5 linked regions of the Oryzias latipes genome follow. The main gene of each other region encodes a partner of the protein of the gene in region 5 in a complex. Links are inferred from orthologs where the notes say so. Each region holds a gene or a part of one and is shown on either strand. Other genes may lie near its edges. The genes, in order: gps2, coro2a, zer1, hdac3 and F-box-like/WD repeat-containing protein TBL1X.

Evidence for each region.
Region 1: F-box-like/WD repeat-containing protein TBL1X (region 5) and gps2 share a complex: the UniProt entries of both Homo sapiens proteins name them as parts of the N-Cor repressor complex. The link is inferred for Oryzias latipes from reciprocal best matches to the Homo sapiens genes TBL1X and GPS2.
Region 2: F-box-like/WD repeat-containing protein TBL1X (region 5) and coro2a share a complex: the UniProt entries of both Homo sapiens proteins name them as parts of the N-Cor repressor complex. The link is inferred for Oryzias latipes from reciprocal best matches to the Homo sapiens genes TBL1X and CORO2A.
Region 3: F-box-like/WD repeat-containing protein TBL1X (region 5) and zer1 share a complex: the UniProt entries of both Homo sapiens proteins name them as parts of the E3 ubiquitin ligase complex. The link is inferred for Oryzias latipes from reciprocal best matches to the Homo sapiens genes TBL1X and ZER1.
Region 4: F-box-like/WD repeat-containing protein TBL1X (region 5) and hdac3 share a complex: the UniProt entries of both Homo sapiens proteins name them as parts of the N-Cor repressor complex. The link is inferred for Oryzias latipes from reciprocal best matches to the Homo sapiens genes TBL1X and HDAC3.

The regions. Positions count from the first base shown.
Region 1 is NC_019876.2:14,446,285-14,450,551, reverse strand, and holds the start of gps2 (G protein pathway suppressor 2), read right to left. Parts: upstream 2,813-4,267; 5' UTR 2,706-2,812; exon of another isoform or gene 2,646-2,705; intron 2,243-2,645; 5' UTR 2,219-2,242; coding exon 2,098-2,218; intron 1,549-2,097; coding exon 1,439-1,548; intron 1,346-1,438; coding exon 1,233-1,345; intron 1,161-1,232; coding exon 1,081-1,160; intron 969-1,080; coding exon 889-968; intron 15-888; coding exon 1-14. Other genes in the region: gabarap (gamma-aminobutyric acid receptor-associated protein), read right to left, coding at 4,157-4,237. UniProt on the Homo sapiens protein: Key regulator of inflammation, lipid metabolism and mitochondrion homeostasis that acts by inhibiting the activity of the ubiquitin-conjugating enzyme UBE2N/Ubc13, thereby inhibiting 'Lys-63'-linked ubiquitination.
Region 2 is NC_019859.2:16,847,919-16,852,108, reverse strand, and holds the start of coro2a (coronin-2A), read right to left. Parts: upstream 2,810-4,190; 5' UTR 2,560-2,809; coding exon 2,545-2,559; intron 1-2,544.
Region 3 is NC_019870.2:27,326,337-27,329,849, forward strand, and holds part of zer1 (protein zer-1 homolog), read left to right. Parts: intron 1-1,025; coding exon 1,026-1,141; intron 1,142-2,093; coding exon 2,094-2,282; intron 2,283-3,513. UniProt on the Homo sapiens protein: Serves as substrate adapter subunit in the E3 ubiquitin ligase complex ZYG11B-CUL2-Elongin BC. Acts to target substrates bearing N-terminal degrons for proteasomal degradation with the first four residues of substrates being the key recognition elements.
Region 4 is NC_019868.2:25,322,752-25,326,969, forward strand, and holds the start of hdac3 (histone deacetylase 3), read right to left. Parts: upstream 2,806-4,218; 5' UTR 2,672-2,805; coding exon 2,617-2,671; intron 1,712-2,616; coding exon 1,629-1,711; intron 1,542-1,628; coding exon 1,399-1,541; intron 1,305-1,398; coding exon 1,223-1,304; intron 1-1,222. UniProt on the Homo sapiens protein: Histone deacetylase that catalyzes the deacetylation of lysine residues on the N-terminal part of the core histones (H2A, H2B, H3 and H4), and some other non-histone substrates.
Region 5 is NC_019879.2:24,121,243-24,124,755, forward strand, and holds part of F-box-like/WD repeat-containing protein TBL1X, read right to left. Parts: intron 3,386-3,513; coding exon 3,166-3,385; intron 2,477-3,165; coding exon 2,344-2,476; intron 2,142-2,343; coding exon 2,000-2,141; intron 1,913-1,999; coding exon 1,849-1,912; intron 1,719-1,848; coding exon 1,621-1,718; intron 1,393-1,620; coding exon 1,332-1,392; intron 587-1,331; coding exon 465-586; intron 333-464; coding exon 258-332; intron 184-257; coding exon 56-183; intron 1-55. UniProt on the Homo sapiens protein: F-box-like protein involved in the recruitment of the ubiquitin/19S proteasome complex to nuclear receptor-regulated transcription units. Plays an essential role in transcription activation mediated by nuclear receptors.

The sequences.
Region 1 (4,267 bases), on a different chromosome or scaffold from region 5:
TGAAAATGCCGTCCCTAGAGATAAGCCAGAGGAAGTGAGAAAACCTGGGAAAAAGAGTGACTTGATTGACAACATTTGATTGACATTTTCCACAAAAAAAAATGTTTTGTGTAGTTGCTAGGCCACCAAAAAAAATTATTTTTCATACACAGTGGGATAAACACTTTAAAAATATATTTTCTGTATTAAAAAGCTGGTTTGGAATTTAGGTAGGGCTTTAGACTCTGACAAAAAGTTGTTAAAAACAGAGTTTCAGCGGTGAACCTTCCATTAACTTACTTTTATTTTCAAAATAAAATAGCTATAAACATGATAAATAGAAGTGCTCGAAAAAGGAGTGGGTACAAGGAAAATCTTATTAATTCCCACCACCAATCTTACTATATTTAATACATACATTTTTACTAATAAAAATTAAAAACATAAAATAACTGAAGGGGAAAAAATAAATAAAAGCATCTAGGAACCAAACATCACATTTCTCCTTTTCTAATTTATACATTTCCAAAATGTTCAGGTTGCACTTTTTTCTCCATTGTGTTTATCATTTTTACTCATTTTCACAGACAGAAATGTTGACTTTTTTGGGCTGTCCGTACACAAGGTTGTTTAAAGAATATCCTCCTTCCTTGTTCTTAAACAGTTTTGTTCTGTGGAGGTGGTTTTGTTTTAGCTTGATACATTTTTTTTGATTTAGAGAATAAAATGTTCATAATAGTCCACTTTATTATTTTTGGTTATATGCAAAGTGGCTATACGCAGGTTTTGTAGGCATTACTCGGGTTAGAACCGAAGTAAAGCAAAGCAGCTTGGCCCAGGCTTTTCCAAACAACAGAACTAAGTAAAGAACTTAACAAGACGTTTTTTTAACAGCCCACTTGTACTTACAGGGATCACGGTTGTTGTGTACAACTGTTTGTTTCTTTCTCCAAGTAGTGCTCCAGCTCGACTGTGGCTCACTGGACTACCTACCCTCAAAAAAAGAAATAAATAAACAAACAAAATGATCTTAGTGCTGAAATTAGCTAACAAAACATACAACCTTTTTATGAAATGTGTATTCATGGTTTAGTAGCTCACCTTGAATATTAAGGAGGTGCTGTCCTGTGTGCATGGGCAGGCTCTGTTGGTAACTGGCAGATGTCAGCGTTGTTATATCACTGATAACAGAAGGAGGCGCAAAATTACAAGAGGCATCATTCGTGGACTAAACAACTGTTGAATGAAAATACCTCTGCTCCTTTCTGCGCCTCTTCTCCTCCTCATGGAGAACCTTTTTGAGTTGCAGAAACAGCTGATGCTTTTCTTCTTGAAGTCCCTGAAGTTTTTCTCCCATTTTCATCACCTGACATCAGGGGAGAAATGTCATTAAAAGGAAGAACTAAAGAGTCAGTTAAAAATCCTAAAATAAGGGTCATCTTTGATGGCAGGTGCTCACCTGTTCTTTGGTTTCCTCTAATGACATCCTTTCCTCTATTTCTTTGGTTCTTTTCCTCTCCTCCTCCTCCTTCAGCTTTTGCTCCATCATTTTATCCACCTCCTCTTCCTCTGAAAGGTTACAGGGACAAGATTTAGCATCACCTGTAACACTTTCACACATCTGAAACATGATAAAGTTACTTGTAATGATAATTGTCAAGAAGGTCAGAGACAGATTTTAGAGACCCACTCCAATGAAAATTATATGTTTGGTATTTTAAACATGTTCTTGTGGCCTTTTTTTTTCATGATAGAGGAGATATATAATTTTTTTTTTATTCAAATCATTGTGAATCAGGAGTAGATGTAAAAACGTCATTGTAAAAAGCTCACAGTTTTGACATAGACCCAACAGCAAGCCACAAGCAGCCTGCTCTGCTCCATTATGAGGCCTCCACTTGGAGGCAAAAAAAATCCATGTGAGGTACTGTTGTTCTGCAAAAACTACGTCCTAGAAAACGATACAGACTTTTTGATTTAGCCTAAAACCGGCAGAATCATAATAAACTGGCCACTGGGAACGCTTTTAAAACAGATCAAGATTTGATTGGAGTGGGCCTTAAATGAAATCTCCTAGAAAATCAAAGAAGAATGATTATTTCTGTTCGGTTAACTTACTTCTCCTTTTCATTTGATGACACTGACCTTGTCTTTTGCGCTCCCTCTCCCTCATGATGTGCTTGTGGAGGGCTCTGGCCATCGCGTTGGACAGTTTCGGTCTCTCCAACAAGGCAGGCATGGTCACTGGTAACGGAGGGGCCAGCTGTTTTAAAGTTCAGAGGTTTAGTATAAGTGGGCTAAAAAGACTCAAGTAATTTTACTGAAAATTGAACTAAATAAACCTTTTAATCTGTTTTGGAAGGGTTTATACCGAGCCATGACCTAGCTTAATTTAAACAAGTACTGCGTGATGCTAGCCTGAACAAGGATAAGACGGCAAAATCTTTAAAAATAATAAACCCGCTAATCTAGCAGCAAAATTTAACATGAATGTTTGTGATAAGTAAGATACGTCCAAGACAAACATGCGTATATCTGTGTGCAAAAAGACCCAATTGTTAGCTAAAGTTAGCCACACCAGCTAAACAAATAAGTGCGCGACGGAGTTTATACTATATTATTTTAATGCTTGCTAACAGCTAATTTATTTCAGAAAAGATGCTTACTTTTATCGTTAATGTTGCCGTTTTTAAGAACCAGACTGTGTCGCCTTTTGTAATATCTACCTTTTTGCTTTTATCCGGCAAAACTTTCGGCCGCGAATATAAACAGAGGTTTTAGGACCGGGGGAAAGAGTTCTACTTCCGGTTAAAAGACACGGCTGCCCCATTTGCATCATGGGAATTTGCGTTTCAATGTGGAGTTTAAATTCAGACCAACACTTTTAGATCTTCTAAATCTAGCTTAAGTGGATTTCAGAAGTCACATTTTGAACTACAGAATTTAAAAACAGTATTAATTGTAAAATAAAAATGTTGCACTCATATTTTTAAATTTAAGTTAGCCTATATTTTGTAATAAGGACATTCCAATGCCCCCATTTTTTAATAACTTTCTCTATATTTACAGACTATATATATAACCTTTTTTTTATACTAACAGCCACGTACTTCTAAAATCAAAAGACCAAACTTACCTAGGTTTATCAAGAGAGATAAAATACTTTAAACATATTCCTATTTTTCTTTTGTATGTTTTGTTTAACTTTCATATCAAAGATAGGCAACAGTTTTTCCATTTAGGACTAGATCCCACCTTTTTTTAATGACCTTTTAATCTTAATGTAATTTTTTTACTATCCAGTAAAATCATCAGACCATAAAAAAAGTCAGGAAACAAATATCAACTTTCATAACATTTTATCATATACGATCATGAGTGGAGAGAAAGAGCCATTAATGCAGCCGTATACAGAGTTCTACTGTAAATCCTTTTTAAAAAATAAGAAACTTAAAAAGAAAATTACACTCAGCTTTACAACTTCTTTAGAAAGTGAGCCACCTAAAATTAACAATAATAACAACAATAATCATATTAGCTGTCAAAATAATTTTACCACTGAAAGCAGAGAATGATTGAGCAGTCTGAATCCTATTATAGTCCTCGCAAAGATTAAATATGAGGAAGGAAATACTAGTGTTTTGGGATTTAACAATTTAATAAAAATAAAGCTTACCGTGACCTCTTTAAATTTAAAATAAAATAAATCAAAAGGAAAAAAAAAAAAGATCACTACCGCTGGCAGCACTATCACTATTCTTTTGAAAATTATTGACTTTAAAACATAAACCAAAATCTTTTTCATCATCAAAGTCTTGTCAAAATTTGACAAGCACTATTTATACTTATTACCAGGCAGGGGTCAATTTAACTCAACAAATTCTGCCTCTGTTTTCTGCACTCAGAAGTAAATACAAGCGCATAGCGGTTGAGATTTTATTTTCACTTTTCTTTATCAGGCATTCTGTGGAGTACGATTCCCAAAAACCAAACCAGAGAAGGCAAATACAATTCAGACTGCAAAATAGAAAAAGTCATAAATGAATATGTAAAAGATTGTGTTTGTGAGAAGTGAAAGTGCAGATGACATTTACTCTGGGAACTCTACACTGCCAAGCTGGATTTTACTTTTTAAATGAATGAATGACAAAGGTCTCAGAAAGGTGGTTGAAGGGGATCACATTTCCCTTTGGCTGTTCCCATACACACTCTCATCACTGTAGGCAATGTAGAGGAAAAAGTCCTCTTCGTGGTGCTCCTGAGGAAATCAAATAGAGTAAAATAAGAG
Region 2 (4,190 bases), on a different chromosome or scaffold from region 5:
GATGGATGGATGGATGGATGGATGATGGATGCATGGATGGATGCATGGATGGATGGATGGATGCATGGATGGATGGATGGATGGATGGATGCATGGATGGATGGATGGATGCATGGATGGATGGATGGATGCATGGATGGATGCATGGATGCATGGATGGATGCATGGATGGATGGATGGATGGATGGATGCATGGATGGATGCATGGATGGATGGATGGATGGATGGATGGATGGATGCATGGATGGATGGATGGATGGATGGATGGATGGATGGATGGATGGATGGATGGATGGATGCATGGATGGATGGATGGATGGATGCATGGATGGATGCATGGATGGATGGATGCATGGATGGATGGATGGATGGATGGATGGATGGATGCATGGATGGATGGATTCTGACAAACCTTTACTTACTGACAGTAAGGTTTATGAGTAAGGGCTCTTTTTTCTTTTTTACACGCACACATCAACTCACAGCTGCAAAGGTTCAGCAGATGACCTCCCGATGCTAAAAATAGCAGATATGATCGTTCTCCGTCTGTGATCCAAGTATAACTACACCTGAAAGTGAACTGATGTCAAACAGAAAACTGATGCCTCAGTTGAAAAGCCAGACATCCTAGGAATTGCTGAAATACTAGATCTGCACGTTGATAGAACCAAAATAGTTTTTAGATGTGGAGCTAAAAATGATCTTGTTGCTCCAACAACTGTCATTTTTAATATGAAGCTTCTGTATTATGAAGAACTGTTTCTTTAAAAAAATACATTGTCAAAGAAAAAATGTGTTTTAATATAATATTTTGCTCATTAGACTTCACATTGTTAAAGACTGTAAATAAAGATCTAGCTTAAGTCTTTCCAAATGCTTATCTGAACAAGTTAGATCAATAATAAAATGCACAAATAATCAATCTTAGATGGTTTGATAAAGACATTAATCACCTCAGGACCCCCAAACGAGGATACAGTGAGTCTAGTAAATGGGATTAACTGAAATTAAATTAATCTTCATTTAAAAATGCAATACATCGAGTTTTTATTTATTAATTGTTCTTTAAAGCAAATATTTGTATTTTTTTAAGCAAAAAATTCTTTCTTCTGATTAAAATGTCTTCACTATATTAATAAGTTTCATCTCTTCTCAGTCAAAATAGCTGGTTGTTTGAAACCTGCAGCTCTAAATCAAATAAATATGGAATTGTAAAAATAAATATTGGAGCTGCACGATATGAGGAAAACTCGCGATATGCGATATTGGTGATTAATATTGCGAAAACGATATAATTTGCAGTATAGAAACAAAGAGCAAAACAACCAAAAACATCATTCCCATTTCATTGCAACAGTTTAAAAATTATACTCCAAATGACCCTCATCGACTTAGGAGGAGAACATCTAACATAATAGGGCTCCACCCGATTGGTCAACAACGTGAGGGGTCACTCCGATTGGTCAAACACATTAAGGGATTTATTTGATTCTTTAAATACTTCAAGTTGCCATAAGATTGTTTTAGCACATTTAAAGTAACCATTTATTGCAATTTTCACTGTCTTTTGCGATAAGGATATTGCACCGCTTGATATTGCGATAACGATAAATTTGCGGTATATTGTGCAGGCCTAATAAATATCAAACATATTCATCGATAAGGTCCCACTCTTTTAATTATAACTATGCGTGTTTTATCCAAAATCCAAAAACCTATGTCGTTTTCTAGGACATAATTTCTGCAGAGCGCCAGGAGTTCATCAATCATTTGCCTATGAGTTGCGGGCGGGACTGTTTGTGCAGAGTAAGCCTACCCTCGTTTCCCATCATCCATCTGTTTACACTCACCCCCGCTAGCTTACAATCCCTCACAACCCCAACCTAACATTAGCAGAGCAACCAAAAAGGTGATGTATGTCGGAGCTATGCAGTCATACAGATTAGAATCAGAGTCCAGCTTAGACGAGGAACACAAAGACGGATCTAGTGGTCTGGAGGTGGATGCATGGGAATGGAGCGGAGCAGCCAGCTTGTAGTCTGCAGGCTGTTGCACCAACATCACTGTTTGACTGTTTCCAACTGCATTTTTTCATTGGAGTGGGTCTTTAATTTTAAACATATATTAAAAATACTAATATATATATATATATATATATATAAAAGATTAATTTGGGTAATAATCATTATGAATTTTATTTAAAAGCTCCTTTAAAACACTCAAGGCCACTGTACAGTTTCAAAAGTAAAACACAATAAATCACTAAATGTTAGAAGCACAATAAATGAAAATAATAACAATAAACAAAAGGTTAGTTTGTCCTTTTGAGTTTGTGCTTCATCACTACAAAAACAAAGATGATGTCACTGTCACAGAGACCCGGAGGGGTCATTTATAACCAAGCAAGAAAAAAATAACAACAAACTTCACTGATGTTTGACAGTTGGAGGTGACGGGTGGAAGAGCCGGCTCCACCCCGGAGAGCTGTCCGCTCATGGCAGCCGCTCCCCGGGACGGAGCTGCCACCTTCTGCGGGGAACTCACCTTCGAAACAGTCATGGGGCGCAGGCGGAGGCGGAGGCGGCAGGAGGTGGTGTGAAGCGGCTGCTGGACCCGGCTTTTTTTATTCAGGCACTCCTCCCAGTAGTACAAGCAGCGTTATGGAGAAACTAAGTCATACCGCCCGGTTTAACCTTGACGGTCCCAGATGTGGACAAACAACAACAGCAGCAAGCGGGAACTAACAGGACAAACGCACCGCCACCGCGGGAAAAAAGAAAAAAACAAAGAGGAGGAGGAAGAGGAGGGCGGTGGATCATGAGGTAGATGTGAGGAGAGACAGGATGCTTCCAGAGGAGGACGAGCGGGAGAGGGGAGGGGGAGGGAGGGAGGGGCCAGGAGATCAGTTTGGTTTCACGCGCGCACAAAGATTTTTCAAAATAAAAACACAAAACGATCCGCTAAACAATACAAATCGTTAAAGCTGTATAGCTTTAATATCAGAAGCATTTAAAAAGTTAAAAAAATATGTAAAAAATTTGTAATCTAAGTTTCACTTTTAGTCCCAGTTCAGCCACTTGTAAAGGGTAGAGATCTAAAATAATGGAGATTCTGAATCAATCCACCTTGACGTGGGATTATGACGTCACCGTTGGGACATCCATTTCAAACCTTTTAACGCTAAAAGAGCCATTTGGTCCAGTTTTTTAATGACGAAAACCAAGCAAGAACTAAACTTCACCTTTAGAAAAAATACTTTTTTATATGTTTTGTGACCATTAAGCCATTTCTGAATAAAAGTAGTTTATAAATATTAATAATTGAATGACAACAGTTGTTTTTTCTATAATCAACAATCTTGACTTCTTTTACTTTTACCAGCAGCACATCCTAGTTCCTTTCAAAATAAAATACACTGTGTGTCTTCCTGCTGCAGCAGATTTACTTAAAGTGTATAATAAAGTCAAACTTTCTATCATTATGGATGGATGCACAGTAGATTAAACGCTTTACCATCATTTTTCTCAGTGATTTGACATGTTAAAAATCTAAACATAATCCTAATGAAATGAACCAAAACAACAAACCCAGTAATTATTCAAATTATGTGCATTTGTTTTCTAAGCCAAAGAGCCACAATGTGGCGCCGGAGCCTCAGGTTGTAGAGCCCGGCTCTAAATAAACATTCGGAGCTTCACCCTTCAGTCAACCTCCACCTGCATGAGCAGCTTTTTATTTAAAATGAAATGAAACATTATTTAATCAAAACCATTTTTAAACTAAATGAATCAAACTCCAGATAATGTTTCAAATAGGATTCAATCTCAACTTGTATGAGTAGTTTTGATGTATGGGGAATTGTGGATTTGCAGACAGGAGCACAAAAGGAAAGAAAGAGCTGAACATCAGTGTGTCTGCAGGACTTTCGGATCAGTGAAGGGAGTGAAACTGCTGTGCTGACAGCATGAAAACAATCACTTTTCTTTAGTTTCCAGTGTGGAAAAGAGCATTTTAAGTATTAGCTTAAGTTTATATAAACACCAACCACACCAATCCCTTGCTTTTCTGTTAATATTATGAAAAAGGCCTTGCAGAAAGTCATTTCATGGGTTTGAGGTTTGGTTTCTCTTCATCTTGAGGAATTTGTTGCCCTCTAGTGATGAAAGTCGGTCATTACAGGAAGATTTGTT
Region 3 (3,513 bases), on a different chromosome or scaffold from region 5:
GGGCTGTCATCATCTTCTGTTAAAAAAATGATGCTTGTTTATATATTACTGCTTTCAATGTTTGCGTTTTCTTTCATGCTGTGTATAAGAAAAAAGAAAAAAACAGGCTTTAAATAACAAACATCCTTTATTTAGCTTTTATTTTATTTTATTTTAATTGTATTATTTATATTATTTAGCTTTCTTTACATCCAATCCGTTCCATAAATCCAGGCCACAAGTTGATTAGCACATTTTCTTTTTGAAGTATGAGTGCTCTGCTTTTTGTTCAGCTGTTTTCTTAAATTGTAACTCTCATCTCTGTCCTTGAACATTTGCTGTAAGTTTATTTTGGTATCAAGTTATTTTTGGCTTTAAACATGCTGTGTGCTGTTTTAAGTTTCACTACTTCCCAAAAATTCAATAAACCAACTTTAAAAATAGTGCGTTTGTGTGTGTCCCATAATCTACACCATAAACTGTTCCAATAGTCTTTTTTGGTAAGACATACAAACACTATAGATTTGCTTTATAAGTATTTCCCCAAACTTCTACACTGTATTGTAAATATGGTAGTATTATGGATGAATATATTTGTAGATGTGCTTTGTGAGTGACTGTATGACACGTTTTTCCCAACACTGATACGCTTTTACCAATTTTGGCTCTGACTTGCTTTATATGTGGCTTCCAGATTATTTTGTTGTCCATAATTACTACTAAAACTCAATTTCAGTCACTCTTTCCAGAACATGCTTTTCATTAGAAACATTTATTTCTAAATCTGCAGGAATATGGCGATTTCCAAAAAATCATGAATTTATTTTGTTAACATTGAGTGAAAGTTTATTTTGTCGAATCATTTTGAAATCACATACAGAGGAGGGGATCTATATGTTTACTATATGTTTACTATATGTGTTTAATGTAAATCATATATCTATATTAGTTCAGTGCGTGACTTTCAGGTGATTAAACGCTGCAGTGTGAGAAATCCTTCTAGAAGTGTGACCGTCTCTTCTCTGTGCATCGTCTCCTTCCTGCAGGAGTTTCCAGACAAGCAGGAGCTTCATCGCAACATGCTGGGGCTGCTGGGAAACGTGGCGGAGGTCAAGGCTCTGCGGCCACAGCTGCTCACGCCGCAGTTCATCTCTGTCTTTAGGTAAAGGCTGGCAGCAGGGGGCGCTCTCTGCTTCTGCACAAACACTGCTCAAGCACTGCACAAGCACTGCTGTTTACACGGTCTAACTAACATACACATTTAGTATTTACATGTAGTATGACTACAGTAGTATTACTTAGGAGTAATGGGAATCTCAGTACAACCAGAAGTAATCACAGTCACTACACAGACAGGATCAGAAACGCAGACTGAATCAGAAACGCAAATGGGATGGGAAAAACAGGTGGAATCTGGAAATGCGGGGGAAATCAGAAACCCAGACGGGATCGGAAACGCAAACGGGATCAGAAAAATGGGTGGGATCTCGAAACGCAGACGGGATCGGAAACGCAGACGGGATCGGAAAAATGGGGAGGATCTGGAACCCTCTTGTTATAGAGAGCTCTCTACTTCCGCTTTCTCTCCCGCTAGCTTACAGCCCCTCAGAACCCTAACCTAGTATTACTGTTAGCGAGCAAAATCTGAGCTATTCAGCCGTACGGTGCTGATCCAGATTTTCCAGGAAAACAAAGTCGCCTGCAAGCGGATGCATGAAACCAGGGGTTGACATTTGACATTTTGGCTAAAGATGTCCTGTATCCATTTTAGGTCAATGAATCAGGTCGAATCGAATCAGCAACCACAAATTATAAAAATGAATCGAATTGTTAAAGTGAAACTTTATACCCTCTTCTCAGAATGGATCAGAGCAGGGAGTTTTTTATCTCACCCAACATATTTCCTGTGTTACAAATAAGCTTTTTTCTAAACTCCATTTTTATCGTCTGCTCCTGTTTTACAACACTTTGAACAAACACTCAGAAATGCCATTTTAAGCTTAACTTTCTTTATATTTGTCCTCATCTACAGAAAAAATGCTACAAAAACATGTTAAAAACACCATCTTGGTTGTTGGGTTTTCCTAAAGTAACTCCTCGTCTCTCCGTTGCAGCAACCTGCTGGACAGCAAGGCTGACGGGATCGAGGTGTCGTACAACGCGTGCGGTGTCCTGTCACACATCATGTTCGACGGCCCTGAGGTTTGGGCCATGCAGGAGCCGCGCCGGGAGCTGGTCATGGACAAGATGTGGGAGGCCATCCGGAGCTGGGACGTCAGCTCACGCCGCAACATCAACTACAGGTGTGATCAGAGTCGCCTCTCATCAGAAGTGTCAGGGGGTCAGAGGTCAGCTCTGGTTTGCGGTGGCTTCAATCCATCATCTCTAACAACCGATTCAGTCCAGCTGAACCGAGACCAGAACTGCCCTCAAAACAGTTCTGACCAATCAGAGACCTGCAATCCTGACTACTCAGGAGGTGCTGTAACAGACGGTAGCTAACATCTGAAGACTAATCTGATCCGTCAGCGTTTCTTACACCGTTGCTTCACAAACCGCATCTAGAAACCAGAACCTTCCAGAGATTTTGAATTTTCTAAAATATTTCTAACTGGAATTATTCTCAGCCGAGAACAAAATCTGCAGACATTTTAGATGTGTTCTCGCGCCCGTCTACTTGAGGTTTTAGTGCCTCTGAAAGGGCTGGGTTGATAAAATTGATTAATCGATCTGAATAGATCCAAACGTAATAAATCAATAATCAATCCATAAAATAGAGATCAATCTGTCATGCCTTTCCGGTGATCTGACAGATGAAGGCAGTAAAGCCAAAGTCTGCTAGCTTGATGCTAACGTATAATGGAATTTCTCATAGGACGGCTAATGATAACACAATAAATGAACAGCTTTATATACTCACAGGCAGATTCCTTTAAATAAACTTTTTTTTAAAAACCATTTGTGGTCTAAAGCGCAGCTTTTTGCTCAAATCTTCTGGATTAAAGTCTAACGCTATAGAGACCAAACACGGGTTTCTTAATTATCTGCACATTTTTGTTGGAGCTTCTCCGTATGTGTAGCATGTGAACTGTATGAGATTAATATGAATATCTGTTACAGTATTGTATTTCTGTACAAATATTTCTAAATGTGTAAAATGTATACATTTAAAATGTAATCAAATCGAGCGGATGGAAAGAATTGATCCAGGCTCTGGTTAAATCCAATCGATTCTAGAAATTATTGGTGATACCTAGCCCTGATCTCTGACATAGTTTCATAACCATTTAGATTTGAAACCCTTAAAAGTATATTTAGTCGGTAAAAACAAGTCTTCAGCATGCAGTTGCTCCCTTTTTTGACAAACCCGATGTCACCAGCTGCAAATGCTGGCTCCACGCTCCTCCCAAAAGGGCTATATAGGCTACGCTAGCCTGTTACCATTGTCCAAGATACGACAAGAGCGACGCCATACTGCAAAGGGCGGGAAACGATGAGACACGGCTTAGCAGATACAGTAGAATGACCATAAAA
Region 4 (4,218 bases), on a different chromosome or scaffold from region 5:
GAGCCTAAAAATGTTTTTATTTTTATTCTGTTGCAGTTTCAATAATTATAAATAAAAGGTAAATGACACTCCAATGATTCCAGGTTTTTCAATAAAGTACATCTTTCGTCTTTTTACTGTCTCAGATGAAAGGAAACGAGCGGCTGGAGTCACCGTTTTAAACTTTTAATTCCAATAAAGAAGCCCTGTTTACACAGAAAACAGCTACGAAATGTAGGACTTTCTTTTTAGACAGAAATAAAGAAAATGATTTAGAAATGTCTTCCAAGATGTCTATAAAAGGTTGGCATTGAAAGCTGCTTTGCTGCTGCTTTTCAGTCCAAACCAGCTTAATGTTCCGAATCAGAACCAAACAGTGAAGGACCATGTTTTACTATAAAGCAGCTCAAAACTGGATCAGCTGTCCTGATGATGACAAACGTCTACTCAATGATATTGTTTTCTGTATGTATATCTGTGGATTGATATACATCCATGGATGTCTGTGGTGACAGTCGGATAACTCCTCACTTTCACACATTTGCACACTAGGAGAATAAATCCAGTTTTATAGAATGCAAACAAAGATCTGATGATGATTTGGCACAGAGGAGATTGATTGACAAGGTCAACAGCGAATCAGGACGCAGAACACAATGTGCTGTTAAAAAATGAGATCGCCACAAATGAAGACAAATGCAAATTTCCAAACATTTCCAGCTTCATGCTGACAACTTTGGCTGTTTTTTCCCCAAACATTTGCTGAAACTATTTTTTTAAGACGCAGCTTGAAAATAACATTGTTTTTTTTTATATTTTTAAGAACTGAAGCTGCTATGTTTGTTACAAACTCCAGAATATTTAACTATTAACTCTATTAATGCTGCAAAAACATGTAAAAAAAACCAAACATTTAGCTTATTTGTGACCTTCCTGTGAGTAACGATGTTTGATAAATAATAAGCAAACCATTTTCTTTTTTAAATGATTGCGTTGAATGTGGCTGAAGGTTCTCGTTTATCCGGGTGACGCAGTTTGGAATATTTCCTCGGTCTAATAGAGAAATCGTTCAGTATGATGATCGATTGTGGTGTAAAAAATCTGCAGCCCTTTATGATCATGTAAACATTTAAAGTCTGACCCTGTGAATAATTCCTAAATGGAGCTGAATATCCGTTACTAGAGGAGTCCATGAGTGACGGTTCATGACAAACCCAGTGATGGAGAAAAGCGGACGGCTTACCTTGTGGTTGAGCTGCGTGGCGCCCTGCAGAGACGCCCCCGTGTATCTGGAACAGAACTCAAAGAGTCCTGGAAACACAGGACTAGAGCCCGCCGTTGGGTTAGTGCTCACATTTGCATGAACCAAAAGCAGAAGACAGATCGATGAAGAGGAGGAGCAGCAGCAGCAGCGCTCACCAGTCATCTCCAACGTTGAAGGTGTTCAGGCTCTTGGTGAAGCCCTGCATGTTGTTGGGGCTGACCTTCTGCAGGAAGTCGATGTAATCTTCAGAGTGGAACCGGCACATGTCGTGCTGAGAGGCTTTGTACGGCTTAAAAACCTGACGGTCACAGAGAAACTGCAGAGTTCAATCTTTGATCTCGAAGCAACAGTGGAAGCAGGTTCTGGACCTTCAGGAGTGTCTCACCATCATCTTTTTATATAACCCATAATGCAACACCAGACTGTGGGTGAGAGACAAACGGTGAGGCTTCATGGGATGACCGGCACCTGCAGGAGACGCGGTTCACAACAAGCATCATCACTTTTTCATCATCAGCTCCATTTCAACATGATTACACTTCCAACGCGTTTTCACGACCAACAGGAAAGAAGATTAAAAAAAATGCTGCAGAATCCCTCCATTTAGTTTGAATCTGCTGCAGCTGTCGGTTCTGTAAATGTTTGTTTGTTGTTGTCTTTTCTTTTTAGACCTATAAAAACCAGAGAAACCACGATCACACTCTGTCAACAATCGTTTTGTCAATCAGAGGCCGTGAATGCTTTGGGACAAACACTTGTTTTAGATTTTGGTCTCCATTTTTATCCTGCAGTGATCAGCTCTTTGTGGACTCACAGCAGCTTTGAACTGAGCTCACACTAATAAAAAAACCAAATCAATGATAATCCCAAACTGTTCAGAGATTATAAACAGCTGGAAGTGATTAAGACCTAAAAGTTTTCATGATAACAGAAACGGGTAAGGACATAATTAATTATTATTAACCTTTCTATTACCTAAATCTAGAATCAGTACTCCTCAGCTTAATTGGTATATAGTATAATAGCCCATTCCTGTATAGAATACAAATTGCAAATATGTTGCCTGGAAATAACCAACTCAGTCAGGGTTTAAAAACACCAACAGATAACCCTAAGTATCTACATACACTCCTGCCGTGGGCAGGATCGCTACAATATTCTTTTCCTTTGCACCCAAATGTGACGTTATGTGTTCATTACTCACCTACAACACACTGGCCTGAACATATGAATGAGATAAAAAAAAATATCTTAATTAAACCCAGAAACAAAATTGGAGCTGAATTTTAACAATGAATCGTTTGAATTGTTAGCCTCCTCCAGCTAGCTTGCATTAGCACTCCTGCTCCAATCCCAGCGTTCAGCAAACTCACCGTAATGAAAGTTTCCCACATCTGGGTCGTAAAAGTAAGACGTCCTAATAGACATTTTAAATGTAAAAAAAATAATAATAATCCTGAGATTCAGCGAGGTTTTACTTTTTAAAGAGCGGCTCAGTCTGCCGCATTTTTCCTGCCGCTAACGGCTAACCGTAAACATTTAAAGGTGACGTCATCATGCTGGGACGCAGGGGATGGAGAGGGGAGGGGCGAACAGGGGGTCTCAAGATGGCGGAGTGAGTTTAAACCAATGAGTGATGATCACTAGAGGAAACATCACGTGGTTCCTCATGGGAGGAGAGCACCGCCATCTTGGTGAGGTCAAGTTACTGCTGCAGTGAATGCATTTGAACACATTTTTTGCATAATACCAGTTCATTGTTTGTGTTTCAACTGCCAAAATCAGAGAACTGAGTCCATGAAAGAAGAAGTATATCATTTCATAGAAAAGTATTATAATTTTTTTCTTTTGTTTCTTTCTTTTTCTTTTGTTTTTCTTTTATTAATAGAACACATGTTGACATGCATGATGCTGCAGGGTTATTATCAACATGCTGCATGATGTACGGAGAATTTGCTGTCGACATAAATGTACATTTTATTTTGCTAAACCTGTATACAGCATACTAGGCTATTATAGTAATATAGATTTATACATGTCTGACTCAGTGACCGAACTTTTCACTATTCACTATTCAGACTTAAGGAAAAAGTGGATCTTAGCAATAAAAAGAGCTAACCCAGATGGATCACTGTGGTACCAACTAGTAATACAGTCTGACTGTTCAAAACATTTGTGGAAACCAATTTAGATAAGAGGCCAGACTGTTAGCTTGAAACCTGACACCATACCATCTGTGTTACACAAATTGATCACTCACATGAATCTATTATTTTTCTTTGTTGTTGTTATTTTAGGGTAAATCTATTGTTCACTTTTGGAATTCTTTTGAATATTTATTTTATTATTATTATTATTATTATTATTATTATTATTATTATTATTATTATTATTATTAATAATAATAATAATAATAATAATAATAATAATAATAATAATAATAATAGACTTATATTTTATTATTTATTGACTTATTATGTATGTATTGCTATTATTTATTGTTTGTATTGACTTACTATTGATTTATTATTATTATTATTATTATTATTATTATTATTATTATTATTATTGAGTTATTGTTGGGTTTTTCTAAATAATTTAAATTACATGTCAAAGAGGTCTAAAATTCCTAAATGTTTACAAATTATTTTTTTTTAATTCTTTGTAATAATTTTTTTATTTGTAAGAAGTCCTGCAACAATGCATTTTCATTAAAGTTTGAGCTTTTAAGGCTGACTGTTTCTCTTCTTTAACAACAACAAATGATGTATCTATATATATATATATATTATATATATAAATATAATGTATTTACATATATTTATAAATATATATAAATTGTAAAAACATATATAGTATATAAAAGCTACTTAGACACCTCTAAAAGCAATAGAAATCATTGTCATGTGGGCGTCGTCGACCTCACCAAGATGGCGTCGCGCTCCGCCACCGTCGGCCAGGCTTCTAAAGCGGGC
Region 5 (3,513 bases):
AGAACCCAGACTACCAAAAGCTGAGTAACTCTGCATTACAGGTCAGGTTTCCTACCTGGCGAGCATGATGTTGGAGTTGGGATTATTTGTGCTGGGCCCTGTGGGACTCCACTTAATAGTGTAGATTTCTTTACTGTGAGCCTGGAGGTCGTGGACGCAGGAATCCTGTTTCATGCTCCAAATCTGCGTGCGACATTATGAAAATAAGCCGCCGTATTCAACTTTCAGCGCCTCACATCCGTGTGGACCCCTCTCACCTTTAAGGTCATGTCGTCTGAGCAGGAGGCCAGCAGCATACCCGATGGATCCCACTTGATGGCGTTGACTTCATTCTGAAAAACGCGGCGGCACTGGTTAGGTGAGGGGCTGCGGCAGCCTGGACTGAAACGAGGTCAGGGTGTGTGTGTGTGTGTGTGTGTGTGGGGGGGGGGGGGGGGGGGGGGGGGGGCGGAGGACGCGCTCACCGTGTGGCCCTGGAAGGTCTTGAGGGGCCGGTCGCTGCCCAGGCGGCACACGTGGATGCACATGTCTGTGCTGCAGGAGGCAAAGGTGGTGTTGTTCTGCCAGTCCACATCCAGCGCCGGAGCTGCGGAAGCATTCACACGCCGTCAGGACTCACGACAACACCCAACTAAACAAAGGCTTTTATTCTGGTAAATGATGCTAACAGGAAATAGACTGAAAGCAGAGCAGAGGCTAAAACTTTACTCCTTTAGATGAGTTTTTCCAGCTTGGTTTTTAAGGTTTTAATAAGGAGCCACTGTTTCAGACTCAGGCCGACTCATTCAAGAAATATTAAGTCTCATATTCTTAGAAAACTCTCATATTAGCTTTTGAGAAACCTTCTATTTCTAAATTACACCAGGAACCAAAGCAGAGAAAGTAAGCGTAAAGGGGAAAGCCTTACATTTAATTCTAATGAATGGATTACATTCATTAATCCCACAGCCCTAATTACAATCACTGTATTTTCTTAAATAAAAACATAATTTTAGGTTTTTCTTTTCTTAATTTGCAAATACTGTAATAGGTTTGACTTTTTAAAAAATATATATTTCTACTAATCCAAACAGGTATACTTTTAATAGTATTAAAACATAATGTAAAATGCAATACAAATGTATTTTAAAATAAGGTTTTTTTGTTTTTTCTACAGGACTCATATGTGACATTTGGGACCATTTGTGTCACAACAAAAACACAAAAAAAACTTTTTTCTTCCTCAGCGGGTCAAAAAGTGCCATTAGAACCTGGTTTTATCTTTTAGAGTGGAAAGCTACAGCGATGGAGGTAACGGGTTTTATTTTCTACCAGGGAGTAGTCTCACTCACCTGAGTGAAAAGGAAACTGCTGCTTGGCTTCCCCGGTGTGTGCATCCCAAATGATTGTCGTCTGGAAGATTGGAAAAAAAAAAAGGTCATTTCAACAACATTTCCCAGCATTCACTGTCAGTTTTAAACAGAACTCTGATGCCTGCATAACTTATTGAGGTGAGATTCTTAGTTTTAGTCTTTAACGAAAGACTTGATAGTAGAATTTGCTCTGCAGTTTATGGATAACATTTTTAGATTTAACAACAAAAAAGTCAAATTATTTAAGAACACAGCATAAAAGAAGTACCTTATCCACACCAGCGCTGAGGATGGAGTTTCCCTTCTTGTTCCACTTCAGTGCAAATATGGGTCCTTTGTGTTGCCCCAGAGTGCTGGCCAGATTTCCTGATGAATTAAATTTAAATTAATGAACTTTCTTAAACATTTTCTAAAACTAAACCAATATTGTTTGGGTTTTTCACAAAAAGAAGGATGACCAGGGAAGGAGAGAGTGTGACAGCGATGGATGGCATACCGTCCTTGGTCCATATCCTGGCAAATCCATCATATGAACCTGTAGCCAGCAGGGTCCCGTCGCTCTGTCGGATGGAAGCAAAACATCTCTGTTACTCGTCTGTCCTCAGCTGAGGAAAAAAGACGAGAGATGAGCGGATGCCAAAGCTCACATTCCAGTCCAGTGAGGTGACGTCTTTGTTGCTGGGGACATCCTGGCCGCCCTCTCTGATGCAGTGGCGCAGCACCAGCTGGGTGGAGTTGGAGTTGGTGTTCTCATTGAGGTTCCAGATGCGGGCGGTGGAGTCGCCCGAGCTGAACAGCAAACACAGGGAGGTCAGGATGCAGAATGAAGAAAACCTGCACTTCTTGTCTGACAGACCTTTTATTTTTGTTACAGTAAAAATGTTCTTGAATAAGTGAAAACGTTGATAATCTCATCAGGTAAAACATTGACTCTTGCACACAAAAAAGGCTCAGAAAAATAAAAACAGGTAATCTGGAGCAGGGGACCCACCCAGAGGCCAACAAGTCGCTGACGGGGTTCCAGGCACAGATAAAGACTTCAGACTCGTGGCCTCGCAGCACTGTGGCTTTACTGGCTGGTATCTCAATGTCAACATCCGTCTCCATGGGCTCCCTGTGGTTATCTGAGGAGAGTGTACGCCATTAGAGCTGCACCATAAATCGCCAAAACCACACCTCCAGGTTGCAATGTCCATATGATCTAGTAAATATGAACAAGTACATCAGTTACTGGGATTTCAGTGTGCTGCTTCTACAGAATTACAACAGTAAATATGTATTTTATTTTTTAAAATAGCTTTCTTGTATTTCTGTTTTTCCTACTAAATTGCATACTTAAGCTTCAGTTTCTTTGTTGTGAGTTTCTAAATAAACTTTGAAGTAAAAACGGGGGAAAAATGTCCTATTTGAGTTTTGGAATCATGTCTGCAAATTCTACACATTTCCTTTGACCTTAACATTCTCCTCCTGCTGCCATCTGGTGACCGTAAATTCTTATAAAGAATGGAAAAAAAACAAAAAACATCTACTCCTTGTTCTCTTTGTCTGTTCCTCCACCTGATCTGCTCCTCTCTGATTTCAGCCACAAAAGAAATGGACAGCGCCTTGTTATCACGTATGATTAATGACAGGGCGGCTGTAGGTCTAAAGAGTTAAACCGCACAAGAATTTTGAATTTAAGTTTAAGTACAGCCACTGGTGTGAAAAAGAAAAAAGTTTTTTTTTACACGAAAGCTTTTACACGAGAAGTCTGCTCTCCGATTCCCTCCTCTTCCGGCCCTGCTGCGAGGTGATGGGAGAAAACTGGACCTACTCATGGCGTGAGTGCCGTTCTCCTCTCCGTTTACGGTGGCTTCTCCGTTCTTTGGTGCATTTGGCTGGTTCCCAGAAGTTGAAGCTGCAGTGGTGCATGCAGCCTGCTGCTGGGCGAGTTTGTCGCGGAAAGCCTGCTGCCGCGTTTGCACCACGTCTGGCATCACTGCGTCGATGAGCGACAGCGACTCGATGGGTCGACCGTCGAAGACCGTACCGTCCTGGAACGAGTCGCTACAATTAGTGACACTGTGGAACGGCTTATAAGAGGCAAACAACGTTTTTAAAAGCTTCCTCCAGGTCTCTGACACGTGAAAACAGTTTAATGTTAAAATACATCCAAGTTTGT